Styela clava: one gene and its partner. The protein of the gene in region 2 purifies or fractionates together with the protein of the main gene of each other region. This does not show direct contact. Links are inferred from orthologs where the notes say so. Each region holds a gene or a part of one and is shown on either strand. Other genes may lie near its edges.

Region 1 (9,520 bases), on a different chromosome or scaffold from region 2:
ATTCACAGATGGCGAGTTTGCTCGAGAATCAGCCTTTCGAAGACTACCATTCCTAGAAGAATTGAAGAAATTGGCGAAAATCTTAATTCAGTTCAATTCGTTTATTACTCCAGACCCCGCTTCGGTCCATATAAAAATAACACAAACAAATAAACATAAGCAAAAATACAATAAATACATAAGAATACCTGATACGACAATCAGATGAGCAACTGCAATCGAAAGTAGACCTTCGAATATTTTTCACTGGCTTTTGATAAAAGCTGTGATATGAGTGATACTGAGCAATTATCAATCCGCGCTGTAGCAAAAGACCTATCTGCTTACGAAGATCTTGTTGGACTTTATGACACAACACGTGGATATAAAATAGATATAAAAGAAGCTGTGTTAAATGCGTTTCACTATAAAATTAGTTGGATTGACGACGGCGCAGCTTCTATGACTGGTAAAGAAAACGGTGCGGTGACGCTATTGAAAAAGTACTTGCAATAATCTGATTTTACTCAGGACAATATTACTTTTCACTGCTTCATTCATCAAGAGTCTCTTTGTGCTCAATGTATAAAGATGACTCATGTTATGGACGTTGTTGTAAAATGTGTGAATGAAATTCTGTCGAAAGGATTGAAGCACCGCCAATTTCGAGCATTCTTGTTGGAGATGAAAACACAATACAAGGACTTAGTGCATCACTCTCAAGCTTGCTGGTTAAGTCGATGGAAACTTTTGCAGCACTTTCTTAGCCTTTTTGAAGAAATTGAAATATTTTCACAGGAAAAAAGCTTGGTTCCTGACTTTGAGAAGTATGCTATAATATGGAGTCCCCGTCGTCAAATCTTTTCAAGACGCTTTCAAGATTATAATGACTGGAAGGGGCAAATGAATTTATTTCAAAGACCATTGAGTGTGGATGTTGAATATATTGAAGACGCGGACGCTCAACTGGAACTTCTGGATTTGAGGTCAAACCATGTTTTGCAGGATGTTTTTTTAACAAAATTCAGTACTTGAGTTCTACTCTCGCCTCGAAGAAGAGAATTATCCAGTTTTGTTGAGAAATTCAAAAGTCTGGATTTGTTAATTTGCAAGCACGTACAGTTGTTAACAGGCATTCTCAATCATGAAAATAAACAAATTCCAGCTACGGACTCGTTTACTAGATGAGCATATAGATTCAGTGATGCGAATCGCTATTTCTCCCTTGAAGCTCAACATTTCAAATTTGGTCCAACAAAAACGTCTTCAAATCAGCGGTTTTACACGGGATCAAATCGTTTCAATAAATAGATATTCGTTATTATGTATTATCATTGAAGTTTGTTTGATATATGTTATACGGGAATTTGTTTACAATACCAAAAATTGTGCGTGGCACGCGACAAAATTATTTTGAAAAATTTGGCACATATCCTCATTTGAGTTGTGCACCACTGGTCTAGACCAGACATGGTTAAAGTACGCCCCGCGGGTACGTCTAACCTTTCATGTCACACTGACATGGCCCGCCAGACTGAGTAGGTAAAATTTTTGGCCCCTGATTTGAAAACCATGCCCACCCCTGGTCTAGATTCTACTAGAGGTAGAGCAAATAATTTATCCCAGAATTATTTTAAAACAAAATATATGTTGTTCTATAATAATAAAAAAACATGCTATTACCAACTTTGGAGTAGGCTCTGGCAGTAATATAATTTAACAAAGCAAAACCGTTGAATATTTGGTTAAACAATTGATGACGAATTGAGTTGGAAGCCACATAGCTCAGGCATGAAAGAAATTACGCAAACTCTAGGAATATTTCACAGATTAGGGCACATTCTGAACTGCGAAACACTTAAATTAGAATATTTTAGTTTATTCCACTCGCGACTACTTAGTTGGGGTTCAGCAACAAGGTCTTCCTTACAGCCAATTCATGTTCTGCAAAATAAAGTTTTAAGGTGCATGACATTTGGAAAGAAAAGTCGTGTAAATAATTTGCAGCTTTACCGTCAGTATGAATTCCTACAGTTCTCGAATATGAATACACTAGAATTTGCAAAGTTCATGCATCGGTATGAAAATTTAACCATTATTTCACCCCATTACAAAACGTTCATAGTCACCGCCCCAGGTCTCAAATAAACAAGAGTTACACACGTTCTCACAAGTGTCTACTGAGGTGGAAAAAACATCTTTGAAGTATGTAGGTGTATAGGTTTGGGGCAGTGTTCCACCTGGAACCAAAAAAAGTCGTGTGCATATTTTCACATAGTTTTTTTTTCTTACTGAAACACTCAAATTTGTCAACTTTATCAATACCTCATGTTAATATGCATGTAGTAATGTATAATACTATAAGTTCAATTGCTTCACATATCAAAACTGTATACTGAAGGTCTTAGGCCTCTTCCAACTTTACGTATAATGGAATGTTTTATTCCCTCTTTTATGACACAAATTCTCGTTTTATCACTCTGTAATGATTGTGATGTTTACGATTATTGTTCAATAATGAGTTCTAAAAAAACTGAATCAAAAGCCATTATAAACAAGAGAGCTATGCTCAAATATTTGGACACGTAGAGTCACATAATTTTGATGACGTCATAGCGAAAAAAAAAGTAATAGCCTTCTGGAGAAAATTTTTATCTTTAACCACTGAAAATTTCAAAGCAATTGGTCCAGTATTCGAAGAGAAAAGCGACTTTTTAAAAACGTGTCAAAGAACAACAACAACAACATAATATTGAAACGATCGTTATGTCCACTACGTGTCCAATAATTGTAAAAATTAAACTCTTGATAACTGTCATAATTCTCTGGGACTCAAAAACTTCAAGTGACCTATTAAGATCACGACTTGCAGTATTAACTTTACAATGGCGAATTGCTGACTCCCACATATATATCAATTTTTTTTAATTCTATTTTATCCGTTTTTCATCGCAGATGCAGTTTCTGAATGATTACATATATACAGCTTACACACATGGGCCATGATCCTCGATGACCTAACCGGACTTGCATGAGGAGGTTTCTATATTTAGTTTTTGTTTCTGCAGACAACAAGAATTTTTCTCACACAGATAGGCGGTATAGGAAATCTTATCAGAACTTTTGGAGCTTCGAGTGATTGAATTCTTTCATCAGTATGATCCAAAACTGTGTGAGTTCTATTTCTTTAAACTTGCTCGTCAATTCCAAGTTCGGTGATTTATCAACCAGCTGTTCTTTTAATGAGAGGGTTGCCACGTTAGGGAAAGCATGAAATGAGTTCTGAATCCAAAGAAAGTTACCAGCGTTGATGATAAAATACCTTTCAATAAATTCAGCTATATTCGTTAGATACTGGGAGATAGAGACTTTCATATTTACTTTTTTATTTGCAAAACAAGCTGGTTCGAAAGAATATATTCACATAAATTTCATTCAAGCATTCGTGCTTTCCTCCAAGGATGGGACCTTGAGCTTTGAAATATGTTACTTTATTTCCTTGTAACAAAATATTTACTTCATTCAAGTTAGGGAAAATATCTGCCAAACAACGCCAACGAATAAAGTCACTGCACTGCATTTAACAGCAAACTCGTGTTGTTTTAAAAAAATGAAAAACTCTTCATGCAACTCATAAAATCTTGCCAACACCGTCTCTCTCAACAACTAGCGAACTTCAGTAAGTAACAATAACGTTCTGTGAGTTTTTCATATATCTTCACACAGCAATTTAAAAATTATGGAATTGAGTGGCCTAGCTTCAATAGAGCCAACAATTTTTGTCACATCTCCCAGCACTTCAACTAAATCAGGAGGCATCCGGTTAGCTGCCAGGGCATGTCGGTGAATGAGACAATGAATGTCAACAGTTTTTCAAATTTTTATTTGAGCCATAACTCCAGAACATTTACCCCACATTGCTGCCACACCATCTGTACACACTCTTGGACAGTTTTTCCATAATATATCATGATCCTCAAAAAAAGATTGAATCAGTAAAAATATATATATATATCGCCTGTCGTGTAAGTTTGTAAAGGTTTGCTGAAAAGTAGGTTTTCTTTAGTCTCAAAATTATAGATGTAATGAACGAATACAGGTAATAGACCTATAGCTAAATCCTTTGTCCATTTGAGGAGAAAAACTGCCTGGAAACTGTACTGTTTGAAAGAGGTACGGCCTCTATTTTGCGAACATAATTTTTGCTTATCATGCTCTCAACTAAATCTTTTGCACACGATTTTATTAGGTTTTCAGCTATTGTGTGAGCCTCTCTTTGTTGTGTTATTCATTCAAAAACTAAAAATAAAAAAGACTGAGTCCGTTTTTGTGATCTTCACAGACAAGCCTTGGAAACATATTTTCCCTTTCATTTAGTTCTTGGTTCTTCATTTTTAAATAAAACCGATGTTTCTATTTTTAAGTTGGGAGTGATTTGTTTCTGAATGCCGTTTGAAAAAACAGTTCCACATTTTACACGAAGCTCATTTAACTCTTTCTCATCATCCGTCCATATGAAGCCAAAAATTAATTTTCATTATATTTTATTTTCTTAAAATCTTCAATAGTTTTCTTATTGTTTAAGTTCGATTGCGAACACGATACCACTGCAGCAGTTACACATGAGTCATTTGCAGTTGACTTGCTTTCGTTTATCTTTACGATTTTTATATTGTAAAGGGTAAAAACAATATTTGCAATTTTTTTTATATATTTATGCCTACGCTGTTAGACACAATCTACGAAAATTAAACTAGGTACTGAAAATGCAACAGATATACGACCTTCCAAGAGGAACAGGAGAGAGAGAGAAAGATATTTATTTTTTCGTCAACCAAAAATAACAGTCATCCTAATAATAAATAATAATAAAAATACCAATAAGAAATAAATTAGTTTGGTATAGACAGGAGGGAGTGATACGACCAGACGGTCATCAAAGTCAACTCCCCCCTTCAAGCTATTATGTTTAAGATCCACAGTTTCAGATGACTAAAATATTGGGGAGGAACATTCTAGAATTTGAAATTATATTCTCAAAATGTCGACAGGAGGAAAATTGCTGCTTTTAAATTGTGGTGCTACCATAGACTTCTTCATGTAGACTGGGTGGACACACGAATGGGTGCCGGAGAAGATTGGACCATGCCAAAGACTGCTGGACAACATCAATAAGAGGAAATTATGATTTCTTAACATGTGGCCAGAACAGACGGCGTAACAAAAGATATGCTCTTTAGTACAACCCTGGGCAAAAAAGACGTGGAAGACCAAGAATGTCGGACACCTTGGGTGGGATTATTCTGGCTGAGTTGCTCAGAATGGCGCAGGACTGGAGACAATGATTCATGAAGAGTGCCGCGTTTGGTCAGTGATGGTCATTCCGGCAAAGAAAGAGAGAGCAGGAACAGACCGAAGACACTAACTAACATGCGTGAATGATAAATTGAGCAGTTGCCAGATGCTTCTAACCGAAAAGAGCTACAAGGGACAAGCCACATTTAAATTAAGCATCGCTCATTCATCAAATTTTTGTATGTATAGAATGAAAAATATAAAGAATTTAAATATTAAACCGTTCTTAATAGGGTTGATACAAGCTAGAAATAAAATTAAATTCCACATATAAATTATATTAACGCTGAAAATTTGACTCTGGACAAAGATTTCAACTTAAGTGGTGTTGAAATGTGGCAACAAAGCGGTAACTGAATATGATAAGTAAGTGTTACTGTTTGATTCGATTTCGAAATGTGATATTATAATGTGATGTCATATTTGAATTACCGCCGTCATATTTACGGTAATTGCCACAGTTCAATGCTACCGTTGTCAACTTTTATTATTGCCGTTATTGCTTCCTTGGACAGATACTGGTACAAAGTTAGCCGAGTCAGTATTTTAATAAGTAAACGAATAGTAAGTGTAAGTAAGCTAGTTTATTTCCGTTACAACAAAACAATGATAACAAACAAATATACGGAAAATCGGGAAAGTGGGCAAAATCCCAAAAAGATTTAAGACGTGATGATGCACGTGCCCACTTACCCCAAACAACACATCAACAAATTTAGAAAAAGACACGAAAGATAATTCTGGCGTTAAATACCGGTATCTAGGTGAATAGCTAACGGAGCCCTAGTTTTCTCTCACAGATCACTTTAAGAGCCTACTTGATGGTATGCTTTAGTTAGACTACCGTACATCTTACAAATGCCAGGATGAAAAAATGCCTTTCTGCCTTCCCAAAATTGATTCCATTTAGGTAGGTGCCGTCCAGATTTTGCTAAGTTACATTCTTAGGCCTAATTACAGAATTACCTATGCCAGTATGCTGAGCATTTTTTCCCATTACAGTCTGACAGTATTCTGGTATACCTTAGTCTGCCAATTACTGAATGAACGTTAGAAGTTGTATCATTCGCTAAATTGAATATAATTTTTACTGTTGCTTTGAGTGGATTTGCAATGCAGTGTGCTTATTCCTTGTTGGTACACAGGAGTAGAGGTGCCTTACACACTGTTATTCAAAGATTTACGAGCAAAGATACCGTCCCAGCCGAAGATAGCGATCTGCGAGATATTTCTTATCCGACATACAAGCCCAAAGATTCACAAGAATCTTTGGTAAAGAAAAGAGCAAGACTCACATGGCAAAGTAGAAAAAGGGGAATTGCTGAAAACTGTTTACTTTTCAGTACTTTTGCTGATAAGTATCTAAATGACTTAACAGCAGATCAGTTGATTATGTATGATAAATTATTGAACACGGCGGATAATGACTGGGATATGTACTATTGGATGACTGGTGCGAGATCTATCCCAAGAGAATTTGATAATGAAATTATGCAACTTTTGCAAAAGCATTGTAAAAATGAGGAGAAATCTGAACGATTTGAACAACCTCCATTAAATTATGAACCTATTGATAAAAAGGTTTGAGATCTATGTCATATCTTAGTGTATTTTTGAATTGGCTTGCTGGGAATTATGAAACAGTGAACTGCTCTAGGATGACTTGATTACTTGGAATTTGGTGATTCATCCATCGTGAATCGAAGTCATGCTCCATCTTTTCTAACGTTAGACATGGGGTGTCTTCAGAGATTTCTAAAATACCTAAAATATGTTTGTTATTAATGGTTTCTGGTTTGTTCTGCATTTTCAAAATTGATTCGACATTTGTAATAAAATGTTGATATTGTTGAAATTGTTTAAAAAGATTGGAATATAGTAGTGAAGCATTTGTTAACTGTTAAACATCATTTCAAAATACTGATTTTCAAATTTTTTTATTTAATAATTGTTTTATTAATTTCTGATGATATCTTGTTCTTATATTACAGTAATATAATTTCGATTTGTATTTTGGTGAATGATAAATGTTAAAATATTACGATTTGCTTATTTTTTTGTGTTTATAGAGAGTTAATACTAAATGTTAAAAGATCTTGAAGAAATTGATTCATCTGATAGTGATAGTTCAATTATCGAAGATAAAGGCATTTCTTCCAAATCACTCCCTGGTACTCTCACTGCCAGGGTACTAAAATTGAGGGAACAACTAAATAAAGAAGAGGTTTGGCGACACTTCAATTTTTCTGTATAAAATGCTTCTATTTTAGAGATTATTTCACATGAGTAATTAACCATGCATTCATGAAATATTCAAGCATGTGGTAATTTTCCAATGAAAGTTTGACATAATCATTAATATCTGTAAAATTCATATTATAATAACCATAAGTGACTATAAAAACAATGATTATATCAAACTCTTTTTTAGGCTAGAGTTTGTTTAATGATGTCATTATATATATTTGATACAGGGTCTTGAAAAGTTAACAGATCAAGTATATGTTGAGAGGGAAACATCTTCATCCGGAGTCAAATTAATGTAGGTTCATGTATATAATTTGGATGAAAATTAGATATTACATGTTAGTTCCATTGTATCAGGTTTTTCTCTAATTCTGGTCCAACTTCTGAGGTATGAATAAATTTTGTTTTATACTGCAGTGCTGTCATTAAATGTCATGGAGAATTCTCAAATTGTTATTTTCAAGATTTGCTTTTTTGAAATTCAGTAAAATTTGTTCCTACTCCAAAAAATCAAAGTTCATTTAGTAGCAGTGACTGGTATATTACATTTACCTTGTAGTAGGGATACCTGTCAATCTTTACATAAGGTTATATATATCAACTTAGCCCTTTCAAATAACTCATGAAATTATTATCATAATGCTAATTCACATTTATCTTTAGAGAGTCATCAAGTTCTACTTCTACATTCTCTCACTCTGAGGGAGACCTAAAAAATCAGCAAGTAAGTTATACTTTTTTAAATTTGTGAGATTCATGTGTAACGGAGCATAGGATACTTTCAAGCAATGATATGCATAAGAATCTATATATTTTTTGTTGATAACATCTGGTTACACCAAACTCTTTTGGATCTATACCAAATAACAGGAATATTAACTAAAATGGTTCAATTCGACGTTTTGTTTTCAATTGCTAGTTGGTTTTGAAGAAAAAGTTGAACCAATGTCTAAGACAAGGGAATGTAACTGAGGCTGATAAGTTGAGTGATCAATTGAGCCAAACTGAGCTTCAACTTCGTGAAATTAAAGCTGTTGTTGCAAGAGATTACTTAAAAAGAAAGTGTGCAAAAGAGGAAGACAAAGCAAGAAGAAAGAAAAAGAAACTTGCTTGGGGGTACGTTTATATAGCCAGTATATAAAGCTTGCTTCCAAATTTTGACTTTTTCAAAGATTCAGTTTCAAGTTGTTCAGTGTGATTTGATCTTCAGGTAAGTAGATTCAAGATGGGGAAAGATATACTTTTGTTTTCATGTGAAAAACTGATATCTGATTCAGTGTAACTAACTCATGTTCATGAATGACGATATTTTGTCTAAAAGCAGCATTGGTAACCCTGACTCATAAAGAGGCAGAGTACTTCCTAGAGATAACACTTCTAACTAACATGTTTCTATGGTTGAAGTTAATAATTGCTTTACATGTTGTTCACATTCCTTTAAAATTCTACAACAGTGTGATGTTCTACTTCAATAGTGGTAATAATAAGATATTTGCTATTAATAAGATATTTATGTTCAGGTTTGAAACCAAGAAAAAGTGGGAAACTAAGAGTAACATGTAACAAGTTTGAAAATGGCTAAAATTTGTTGCTCAGAATCATTTTTATCAGTCGCATCAAAAGACCTCCTAAAAGTATTTTCCTTGGAAAAAGGACAGTGTTTGTACACATATACACATGAATTTGACAACTCAGTCACAGATGGGAATAATAAACCATTGGATGATAGACTTGAAGACTTGTGTTGTACAAGCGATGGAAAATATATTTGTGCAATGTACTCCGATAAACGAATTGTGGTCTTGGACCCAACTGAATGGGAATCTGCCAAAGAAATTAAAGTTAAAAGACGTCCTACTGCTATGTGCTTTGACCACAGTGGGAATGTCTTATTCATAGCAGACAAATCGGGTGATTTATACAAATATGATCTGCAGAC
Region 2 (11,866 bases):
TCCGAGGGTCAAAGGTCGGGGAAAGGTCCATCGGGTCACGCTTATTTTATCTTTTAAATTAAATGATGTCATGTGATAATATTGCTATTTTTTGTATTTTTAACATTGAAGACACTGACGGCGCTATGTCGATCTGCCCTGGACGACACTAAAAGACTGAAGGAAGAAACGGATGAAGTGGAGGAAAAACGGAAGTTTAAGTGTTCCCAAGGGTGAAAAATTGAAAAACACTAAAAGGCTGAACACTAAAAGGAAGAAGTTGATGAAATTTCTTCCGACGAATAATGAGGTGGTTGAAGTCACTAAAAAGCTGAACACTAAAAGGAAGAAGTTGATGAAATTTTTTCCGACGAATAATGAGGTGGTTGAAGTCACTAAAAAGCTGAACACTAAAAGGAAGAAGTGAATGAAATTTCTTCCGACGAATAATGAGGTGGTTGAAGTAACTAAAAAGCTGAACACTAAAAGGAAGAAGTGGATGAAATTTATTCCGACGAATAATGAGGTGGTTGAAGTCACTAAAAAGCTGAACACTAAAAGGAAGAAGTGGATGAAATTTCTTCCGACGAATAATGAGGTGGTTGAAGTAACTAAAAAGCTGAACACTAAAAGGAAGAAGTGGATGAAATTTCTTCCGACGAATAATGAGGTGGTTGAAGTAACTAAAAAGCTGAACACTAAAAGGAAGAAGTGGATGAAATTTCTTCCGACGAATAATGAGGTGGTTGAAGTCACTAAAAAGCTGAACACTAAAAGGAAGAAGTGGATGAAATTTCTTCCGACGAATAATGAGGGTGGTTGAAGTCACTAAAAAGCTAAACACAAAAGGAAGAAATTGTTGAAATTTCTTCCGACGAATAATGAGGTGGTTGAAGTCACTAAAAAGCTGAACACTAAAAGGAAGAAGTGGATGAAATTTCTTCCGACGAATAATGAGGTAGTTGAAGTCACTAAAAAGCTGAACACTAAAAGGAAGAAGTGGATGAAACTTTTTCCGACGAAAAATGAGGTAGTTGAAGTCACTTATAATCTGAACACTAAAAGGAAGGAGTGGATGAAATTTCTTCCGACGAATAATGAGGTAGTTGAAATCACTAAAAAGCTGAACACTAAAAGGAAGAAGTGGATGAAATTTCTTCCGACGAATAATGAGGTGGTTGAAGTCACTAAAAAGCTGAACACTAAAAGGAAGAAGTGGATGAAATTTCTTCCGACGAATAATGAGGTGGTTGAAGTCACTAAAAAGCTGAACACTAAAAGGAAGAAGTGGATGAAATTTCTTCCGACGAATAATGAGGTGGTTGAAGTCACTAAAAAGCTGAACACTAAAAGGAAAGTGTGGATGAAATTTCTTCCGACGAATAATGAGGTGGTTGAAGTCACTAAAAAGCTGAACACTAAAAGGAAGAAGTGGATGAAATTTCTTCCGACGAATAATGAGGTGGTTGAAGTCACTAAAAAGCAGAACACCAAAAGGAAGAAGTGGAAGAAATTTTTTCCGACGAATAATGAGGTGGTTGAAGCCACTAAAAATCTGAACACAAAAAGGAAGAAGTGGATGAAATTTTTTCCGACGAAAAATGAGGTAGTTGAAGCCACTAAAAAGCTGAACACTAAAAGGAAGAAGTATATAAAATTTCTTCCGACGAATAATGAGGTGGTTGAAGTCACTAAAAAGATGAACACTAAAAGGAAGAAGTGGATGAAATTTTTTCCGACGAATAATGAGGTGGCGGAGGTCACTGAAAAGCTAAACACTATAAGCAAGAAGTACGTTAGGGTTAGATGTTATTTTGTCCTATCGATTTTGAGGCGGTTGAAGCCACTAAAATACCGAAAATTAGGAGAGTTAAATAGCCAAAACATATCCCGACGGAAGTGAGATTGGATGAAGACCCTGACAGCGGACTGATGAGTAGGCATGCCACTTTTAAATTTATGAATTGAATCGATTCAAACCGCAATTTTTTTCGAATCTGATTTACGCGATTCGAAAGAAAGAGAGCCGTTTAGCGAAGAAAAACAAACACTCCAAATAACACCAATTGCCAGACGGGAATGTAACTGAATTTTTCGTTATTTACTTTTATCGATCTGCCTTCATTCATTTTCATGTTCAGCGCAACACACCCTGATCATCACTCGAGATGCTGACGTGCTGTGTGGGTAATTAATTTCCTTCAATCTGTCAGTTGAGTATTCTACTGAATGACCTAAGTTTCTATCACACGCAAATTAAAATGAATCGTATACCCGAAAGTTCGTTGCAATTTTGTTAAAAATATGCAACAGCACACCTTCTCTGCGACTAAGTTATGGTACGCTTTGACATGAATTGATAAACGATCAGATACCGACTTCTAGAAAACATTTAATTTTGATTGAAATTTAATTTAAACTCCGTTGAAATTGAAATATTGGTACTACTGAAGTACGCGCACCAAGATGTCGCACAACCTGATCCCTAACCTCGTACACCAGTGATTTTCAACCTTTTTTGTATCGCGGAACACTTTTTTTATTCTAAAATTGTGACGGAACACCAAATGAGATTTTTGGAAATAAACTATATTATGCAATTAACTGACATCGATCATTTCGGAATAAAATAAATTAACGAAATTAATAATAGCTTGTCAACTTCAGCTGGAAAAGACGTTACACATATTCCGATTCAGAGCTAGGAACAGAAATGGTATTTTAATGTAATATTTGGGCCTGTTTCGATAAGTTTCAATATTTTATTCTGGCTGGAATTAAATTGAGAGAGACAAACACGCAGCTCTTTCTCGGTGACTCTCAATTTTTCGTGTTTTTTATACTCCTATGGCGGCCAAGAAAAGGGTGGGCAAAATCGAATATTTTTTTCGAATCAAATAATTCGAATATTTTTAACAAATACCGAATAGTCCAATACCGAATATTTTTTATACGCAGCATGTCCAGAACGTCGCCGCCATGGATCGCCGTTGTATTTTGTAAATACGAAAATAGGTATCAAAAATTAATAATAATCGCGCAGTAAACCACACATCTATGTACATAGATTGCCGTGGTATTGTGCCCGAATATAATTAATTTTTGATCCCGTATTTCATTCTTTGAACTTAATATCTGTTTTTATAAATTTTGCAAGCAGTTCACGCACGAAGGCTTTGAATAATGATGTATTAGTCAAATCGAAGTCCTGTTAGACCACTGGTTCTCAACCAATGGGCCATGGGCCACTGGTAAGCCTCAGAGGCATTTTGAGGGGGGCCACAAACATATTATAAATTACAAGGTTTGTTGATTGGAAAAATTGATTTGATAACAAAATCAGCTTCACGCGTCTTGAAAAACAAGACATCTATTTCAAAACATGCCTCGCCGTAACCACCCATTGTGGCGCAACATACCCATTATACGGCAGGAAATGCTAGATATGAATATATATATATATATATATATATATATATATAGTAATTTGTTTGCACATTACATCAAAATTAAAAAAAATATAACGAGAATGTCATTGCCTTCAATATTCGCCAGGCTTGAACTGAGCATAACATATAAAAAATTAACAAAAAACGAATCCACGAGGACATTGTCACATAAATACGAACAAAACAAACATTAAATTACCCAATTCCTAATATATTAAATTTTCAAGTATTCCTCATCCTCACTATCCGTCGGAAGAAATTTCATCCACTTCTTCCTTTTACTGTTCAGCTTTTTAGTGACTTCAAACACCTCATTATTCGTCGGAAGAAATTTCATCCACTTCTTCCTTTTACTGTTCATCTTTTTAGTGACTTCAAACACCGTATTATTCGTCGGAAGAAACTTCATTCACTTCTTCCTTTTAGTATACAGTTTTTAGTGACTTCAACCACCTCATTATTCGTCGGAAATTTTTTTATCCACTTCTCCCTTTTAGTGTTCAGCTTTCTAGTGACTTCAACCACCTCATTATTCGTCGCAAGAAATTTCATCTATTTTTTCCTTTTAGTGTTCAGCTTTTCAGTGATTTCAACCGCCTCATTATTCGTCGGAAGAAATTTCATCCCCTTCTTCCTTTTAGTGTTCATCTTTTCAGTGACTTCGACCACCTCATTATTCGTCGGAATAAATTTCATCCACTTCTTCCTTTTAGTGTTCAGCTTTTTAGTGACTTCGACCACCTCATTATTCGTCGGAAAAAATTTCATCCACTTCTTAAGAAATTTCATCCACTTCTTCCTTTTTGTGTTCAGCTTTTTAGTGGCTTCAACCACCTCATTATTCGTCGGAAAAAATTTCATCCACTTCTTCCTTTTAGTGTTCAGCTTTTTAGAGACTTCAACTACCTCATTATTCGTCGGAAAAAATTTCATCCACTTCTTAAGAAATTTCATCCACTTCTTCCTTTTTGTGTTCAGCTTTTTAGTGGCTTCAACCACCTCATTATTCGTCGGAAAAAATTTCATCCACTTCTTCCTTTTAGTGTTCAGCTTTTTAGTGACTTCAACCACCTCATTATTTGTCGGAAGAAATTTCATCCACTTCTTCCTTTTAGTGTTCAGCTTTTTAGTGACTTCAACCACCTCATTATTCGTCGGAAAAAATTTCCTCCATCTCTTCTTTTCAGTGTTCAGCTTTTCAGTGACTTCAGCCACCTAACTACCCGTCGGAAGAAATTTCATCCACTTCTTACTTTTAGTGTTCAGCTTTTTAGTGTTTTTCAATTTTCACCTTTGGGAACACTTCAACTTCCGTTTTCCCTCCACCTCATCCGTTTCTTCCTTCAGCCTTTTAGTGTTGTCCATCTGTCCTCTGGTGTCCCATCAGCCTAAGCTGTGGTTTGCAGCAGTACAGTTGTGGTTGTTTTAGTTGGATATTTAGTGTTTTAGGTTTATCTTGTGTCTGGTTAATTAATGTTAGTTCTTGAGAAGGGTACCGGTACCAAGAGTGTTTATTTTTGATTTTATGGTGTATGACGGGTTTGGATATTCTAATATTGGTCAATAGGATGTTTTTATTGTTTGAGTGGGGTCTCGTGTAGTTTCGTACCTAACGTACTTCTAGAGGGCGTAGCATAACAATTTTTTCACCTATCAATCCTAACATCCTACCTATCCTTCACCTATCAATCCTACCTGACTACCCCATCCAAAAATTACGTCGCTACGACGTCACAGTGACATAATAAAGCCCTTCAAACTATACAAACTGTCACCCAAGACGCGCAGACGAGAACCTGAAATCGAACAGCTATATTTCTCGTCGCAACGATCCCGATAGGATCGCTGACGTTAGTTAGTTCTTTATCGTCGGCGCCGATGTCATTTCGGGCGATCGTACGTGTATTTGGCAAGTTCTATAACGTGATCGTGACGTAATTTTTGGATGATGTAGTCAGGTGGGGGTTAGGATTGACATGTCAAAAAATTGTTATGCTACGCCCACTAGAAGTACGTTAGGTACAAAACTACACGAGACCCAAATTACGTCACCATCACGTCATACTGTCATGGGGGTTGCTTAAGTATAATACGATCGTCCGAAATGGCATCTGCGCCGCCGATAACGAACTCCCTAACGCCGGCGATCCCTCTCCTATGGCGATCGTTGTGACGAGAAAACGAGAGAAATAGCTTGGGTGATCTTCTGGGCGTTTTGGACGACCATCCGTATACTTTGGTGGGCCTTATTACACCACTGTGACGTTTAAATGACGTATTTTTCTGGCGACATAATCAGATGGGGGTTAGGATTGACATATGCTTGAGTCAGGCTAACTAGAAGTAGGGTAGTGTAGCCAGTCTGCAGACGATTTCATTCAAACCGCTATAAAACAAAAACCAATATTTATAACCTGTTAATTTTTTCACCATAGGTGCATGGGTATTTCTTCTACACTCTAAACCTCGAATTAACTTTCTACGACCAGGTGTTAAAGCTATACAAACCACCATAGTACGACACTCTGAAGGCCTATTTGCGATCGAACGACCAGTGTGCGACCACGGATTTCAAGCCTTGAACATCATTTCTGCTGCGTCGAGACTAGGGCATACGCAGCCATGCGTCAAAAAAATTAGCTTCTAATTGCATATCTGACTGTCATATATTTTAAGAACAAGGTTATTTCGAACAAAACTCGTCAAATTTTAAACAAAGCACCGCATTACAGCAATCAAACAAACAAAAACACGGTGGTCGCAAATTGGTCGACAATCTGACAATGCTATTATCGACGTATTGGAAATGCGCACCCCCCTATTCCCCCTCCTTTAAATGTAGAAACGCGAAACTTCAAAGATGGTTAAAAGAAACAGAACTCTACCCACCTGCCAAGTTTCATCTTTTTATCTCTTATATTTGTATGGATTTTCAAGCTTTTTCAAATGGACAGTAGGTAGTTGGCGACATGGAAAAATGATCCGTTCACCATATTATCTCAGCAATCTGTTTTAGACAGGGGAAATCGGGACAGGGTTAACAGGAAGGATGAGGCAAGGGGGACTTTGAAGTTGGACATCGATGCTCGAGAGACAGACAACTCACGTAACTGCGTACGGTAATGTACTTGCTTATCGACTGGCGTTAGTGCCGACTGACATCAGGTGTAGGTCAACTCATCACGACAAGGTTTCAATCTTTGGGTTCGACTTTGTTTTTTGCTGATGATGTCTTTTATAGGCTATCTCTGATGAGTTGTCCGTGCAGTCGATTCGTCCGCCTCCCTCAATACGGGTAAACATGAAAGAGTAGAGATTAAATGTCAAAGTCTCAGGCCTTCTTTTAATCTGCTCTTCACAGATCATATTTTGTATAGACTAACATTTATCAGTTCCGCCAAAATTATGGCATCGTCACTGTTAAGAATAACATCAAAGACTGCTGTGGGTTTAACAAGATCGACAGTAAGTATTGAAAATGTTCAATTCCATTCAAATATGAAGTTTTTAAATTGTACTGCCACTAATTTTAATATTCAGATATCTAGAATTTCAAATGATTTGATAGCTTTTAATATTACAAATTGAGAAATGCAGAATTTATTATGACAATTAGGCATCACACTATTAATTTTTCAGTATATTTTTACCACTAACAGTCAGCTTGTTTATTTTTATGATATATTTATACGCCCTATCACTCCGATAATGGCTCTGGACAATCAACGAGTCTGGTATAGTTTAGTACCACACGCATTTCTAGTTGGCCTGGCTCAACAATTTTTGCATATGTCATTCCTAACCCCCACCTGACTACGTCACCAAAAAATTACACTACTACGACATCATAGTGGCGTAATAAAGACCTCCAAAATGCATGGATGGTTGTGTGATTGTGATGTCGTAGTGACATATCTTTTGGATGGCATAGTCAGGTGGGGGTCGGGAATAACAAATGCGAAATTTGTTATGCTACGCTCACCGGAAGTACTTGTGGTACTATACTATACCCCAAGCAACGTCTGCTAGGTAAAGCTACTATATTTCACAATTGGTCTTTCCAGTTTGACAACGCCTACTAATTCATCACACTCTGGGTGACTTTGTGGGAATGGGATTCAAACCTGAGATTTTTAACTTGTGATGTCAATTTAATGTCCAGCCCTTTGAACACTAGGTCATCATGCCTACTACGGAAAATTTTATAATTGAATAAACTTATATGTATAAAGTATAAGTTAAATATGTATATAAGATGATTTATTCACCCAAAATGTTTAATTTTTCAAGGGTCTGAATGTACTACCATGCATTACGACTGGATTAGATAATCAGTTCCACACTTCAAGCAAGACAAATACACTTGTTAAACGAGATCAGATGTCGAATGAGTATCCAGTCATAGACCACACATACGATGCTGTTGTTGTTGGAGCGGGGGGCGCTGGTCTTCGAGCTGCTTTTGGACTTTCAGAAGCTGGCTTCAAAACAGCTTGCGTCACGAAACTATTCCCAACGCGATCTCACACAGTGGCTGCTCAGGTTTGAGTCCTTTTTTCCATTTTTTTGGTTTCTACCAGGTTCGACATGTTTTTCGCGTAATCGGAATTGCAGACTCTCTATGTTGCTAAAGTATTTCAAAACTAACCACTGGAACTCAAAAAGCACTAATATTATTAAGCGTTCTTATTAACAGTGTAGAGAACCTGTACATTCTGAACTTCTGTTATCAAGATGTGATATTTCATGTAGTTCGGAGGTTCGTGTCCCTTAGTTCTTACCCTGGTTCCAGTGTATTTGTTTTACTAGTGATTGTATCATATCAATAACGAATCTTGTTATTCTTTCTGACAGGGTGGCATAAATGCAGCTCTTGGTAACATGGAAGAAGATAATTGGAAATGGCACATGTGAGACTTATTCATTCTTCATCTTTTATTTTTAACCATTTTGAGATACATGTAGGGATAAATTATTGAGATTTTTGATGGGGAAAGCTCTTATTAGGTCTGAAACCAGGAATCCAAGTTTGCCATGGAGTTGGACCTGATGTTATATTTAAAAACTGCCCATGTTCTGGAGTCAAAGTCAAAAATTTTGTCCCCAGACTTGGAATTTCATACTTTCAACTGTGATAATAGTGTAAATTTTGTGATAGTAGTAGTTCTAGTCAAATCTTTGTCAGTCTGGAGTTGATTTCAAGTTTTCTGACTCTGTTCTGACTTTTTGATATTGAAGTTGGAAGTCAAGTGGCTACTAGCTCTCATTAGGAATTATGTTTCAACAAGATTCTGAAAGTAACATTGGTTTCTTACTTTTTATAAACGATTTATCGAACAGCTCTAATTTCCTGACAAAATTGTTTGCCGATGATGCCTGCCTTCTCGATAGTGCGAAGGATTTGATCACACTCCAAGCCAAAGTGAACACTGGAATTAATAAAGTATATGAGTGGATGATATGCAATAAACTCACTGTAAATGTGGAAAAATCCAAAGTCATGTTATTCAGCCCTAAAAGCCGGACTAGAAATTCAAGTCTTTCAATTAAAATTAATGGTATTCCACTAGAAATCGTCCAGTCTTATAGATATCTTGGGCTTCATATTGACCATCAACTCAAATGGAACAGCCACATCACTGAAATGTACAAGAAACTCTCCAGATCAGTAGGGATTCTGGGAAAACTCAAGTATTATGTGCCGAGCCCAACTCTGCGGACTATTTACTTTGCTCTTTTTCAATCACATATCCAATACGCCTTAGCTGCATGGGGCTCCGCTACTCAAACTAGCTTGCGTAAATTAGAGATTTTACAAAATAGGGCTGTTAAAATTCTCTCCGGAGCACCAGTTCGTTCAAACATAAACACCCTATATCATAAAGCCAGGGTGCTAAAATTGTCTGACATCTATAAATTAGAAATTTCTAAGATTATGCACCAGTTCCACAACAACCAATTGCCTGCAGCTTTCGCTGATTATTTCACTGTTCTCAGTAATGTGCATGAGCATAACACACGCTCTTCGACAAAATCGAATTTTTTTGTTCCCAGATTTTCGCTAAGCAAGTCCCTAAACTCCTTGAAGTATAAGGGTGTTGTAATTTGGAATAGTATTCCCCAAATCTTACGTGACTCTTCTTATGAAACTTTCAAAACAAAATATAAAAAATTCTTGCTGTCACCTTACCAGTCTGCTGTGATTGCATCCAAATGATGTGGCCTCAGCACTCGCTTGCTCTGCTAGGCCTATACCTGTAATAATAATACTTTTTTTCAATTTTTTCATGTCCTCATCTTATTGCATTCTTGCCAGTGATTTGAATTATGTAAAGTGTGCCATGCTAATTGCATGACCTGTATTTGTTCGTAACCTGCACAATATAGTAAACTACTTTTCTTATGTTTGAGATGGTTCATGAAGCTTTGTACGAATTCATGGAATTTAACCACATTGAAATTCTAAGCCCATCTGCTCAAGATCTTGGTTAATTAGCATAACATCGTGACTTGTTTTCTCTTGCAGTCAGTAAAGCCCAAATTGTTTATCTGATTGTCATTATACTCTTATATAACATTGTAAAAGTATTACCTGACAAATAATATTTTTTTATGTACTTTTAAACTTTGCTTCATTGGTTCACTCAACTATTAGACTACGGTACTTGACTCTTCTTAGTTTTGCTGTTTCATGTCTAGTAGTCTATCTAGTTTCCCAGTGTGAATGTTGATACTAGGTTACATTCGTTTTGAATGACTGTTATGGAATATCTTTCACATTTTGATATTTCATGTCTTCCCTGATTTTATATTTCCTGTAACGTTATGTGAAGCCCTGACTCCAGCTGCCAATCACTAGATCCCATTAACAAACAGGTACCTCAATTCCTTTCTAGCATAAAGGTATGGTTTATTCGTTGGTGATCCTGTTGTCGCCCTCAGCAAACCATGGGTTCCACTGTAACCAATAACCATGCGCCATCAGAATTTGACATTTATTGCCCATTGTTAGCTAATGGGCATCACAATAGTATTGTTGTGATACAATCCACTAACGCCATCTCCATGGCTACCGAATCAGTGGTGTTCGGAGTTGTCTTTTCTTTTGTTGAAGCCTAAGTGACTATTATAGTCACTTTGGTTGAAGCGAGCGATTGCTGGTTACAGCAGATCGTCTCGAGATATTTTATGTATTTTTTTCCTCAATTTATTTAAACTTAGTTCGTTTTTTTGTTTTTTATATTATAGTGTTAGACTTATTTTATAGGTGCCGCTGCTCGATAACCAGTATTGGTTTCTCGCGTCTCCTTCACCCTGAAATATGGCCAATTTATATTTTAATTTATTGCAATTTGTATGTTTGTGCCTATTTTAAGTATGGTGAGAAATAAACTACTGATTACTGATTACTGATTCTTTTGAACCCAAATTTGGTAATAGATCTTCCAATATGATTCGAATTCTCACCGAGCATCTCTATTCATACGTAAGTACCGTAGTTTCAAAATGTATAGTTTATTCGACAACGGTTGTGGTGCGGATGCTTTGTCAGGATTGTAGTTCAGGATGTCCAACACCTTGTGGAAATTTTCTCTTTACTTAAATCTACATGTACTCGCTTACTCTAACATGACTCAATAATTTTCCAGGTATGACACAGTAAAAGGATCAGATTGGCTTGGAGATCAAGATGCAATTCATTATATGACAAAAGAGGCTCCTGCAGCAGTTATTGAGGTATAAAAATATTGTTTTATCATAAAATCTGACTTGAATTAGCTATGATACAGACCAAGACAGTGAGATGTTATTTTTCATCCATATTCAACACGAATCGAATATTATGATGACGCTTCAAATTTGTTATATTTTATATAGTAAAGTCTTGATTTTAGAAAGAATGTTAAATATTCAATTTGAAAATTTTTCAAAAACTTCAGTAATCTTTTGACACTAGATAGAAAATCAGTTATAATCATGTTTATGTCTATATTTCCAAATACTAAATTCAATCTTTACAAGAGGAATACCCTCCACAGGACAAATTGATTCGAATTTTTCAATGGTTGAAGATTGTTGTTGTCGCTATAAGGCTATTACATTTATTTATTCACAAAACTTCTATGGGCTATATGGAGTTAGATTTTCACTTTTATTTTTGTGTGACAGGGATGACGTCATCAAAATAAAAAATTAGCACTGTACTGTGGTTCTGTGATCACAATTCAGTGATCTTGTAATGAGACTGGTGGCACTGTTAAACGTTTGATGCTACTTTCATTTTGTTCTTCGTGCCCATACATTTGAGCATCGCTCTCTTGTTTCAGAATGGTTTGTAGATGGATGCTTATTCGTTTTTGGCCATCTCTAATGTCACTATCACTTTTTAAAGTTTGATACTAGGTTGGCAGTAGCAGACAAATTATTAGAACTATATC

Evidence for each region.
Region 1: the proteins of succinate dehydrogenase [ubiquinone] flavoprotein subunit, mitochondrial-like (region 2) and succinate dehydrogenase assembly factor 2-B, mitochondrial-like purify together in Homo sapiens (co-immunoprecipitation; 3 studies listed by BioGRID and IntAct, counting the BioPlex papers as one, with this or other methods). This does not show direct contact. The link is inferred for Styela clava from reciprocal best matches to the Homo sapiens genes SDHA and SDHAF2.

What each region holds. Positions count from the first base shown.
Region 1 is NC_135257.1:3,691,049-3,700,568, reverse strand, and holds succinate dehydrogenase assembly factor 2-B, mitochondrial-like, read left to right. Parts: upstream 1-6,447; coding exon 6,448-6,921; downstream 6,922-9,520. Other genes in the region: tRNA (guanine-N(7)-)-methyltransferase non-catalytic subunit wdr4-like, read left to right, coding at 9,156-9,520.
Region 2 is NC_135261.1:7,413,762-7,425,627, forward strand, and holds the start of succinate dehydrogenase [ubiquinone] flavoprotein subunit, mitochondrial-like, read left to right. Parts: upstream 1-6,731; 5' UTR 6,732-6,833; coding exon 6,834-6,893; intron 6,894-7,718; coding exon 7,719-7,970; intron 7,971-8,282; coding exon 8,283-8,338; intron 8,339-11,077; coding exon 11,078-11,165; intron 11,166-11,866. UniProt on the Homo sapiens protein: Flavoprotein (FP) subunit of succinate dehydrogenase (SDH) that is involved in complex II of the mitochondrial electron transport chain and is responsible for transferring electrons from succinate to ubiquinone (coenzyme Q).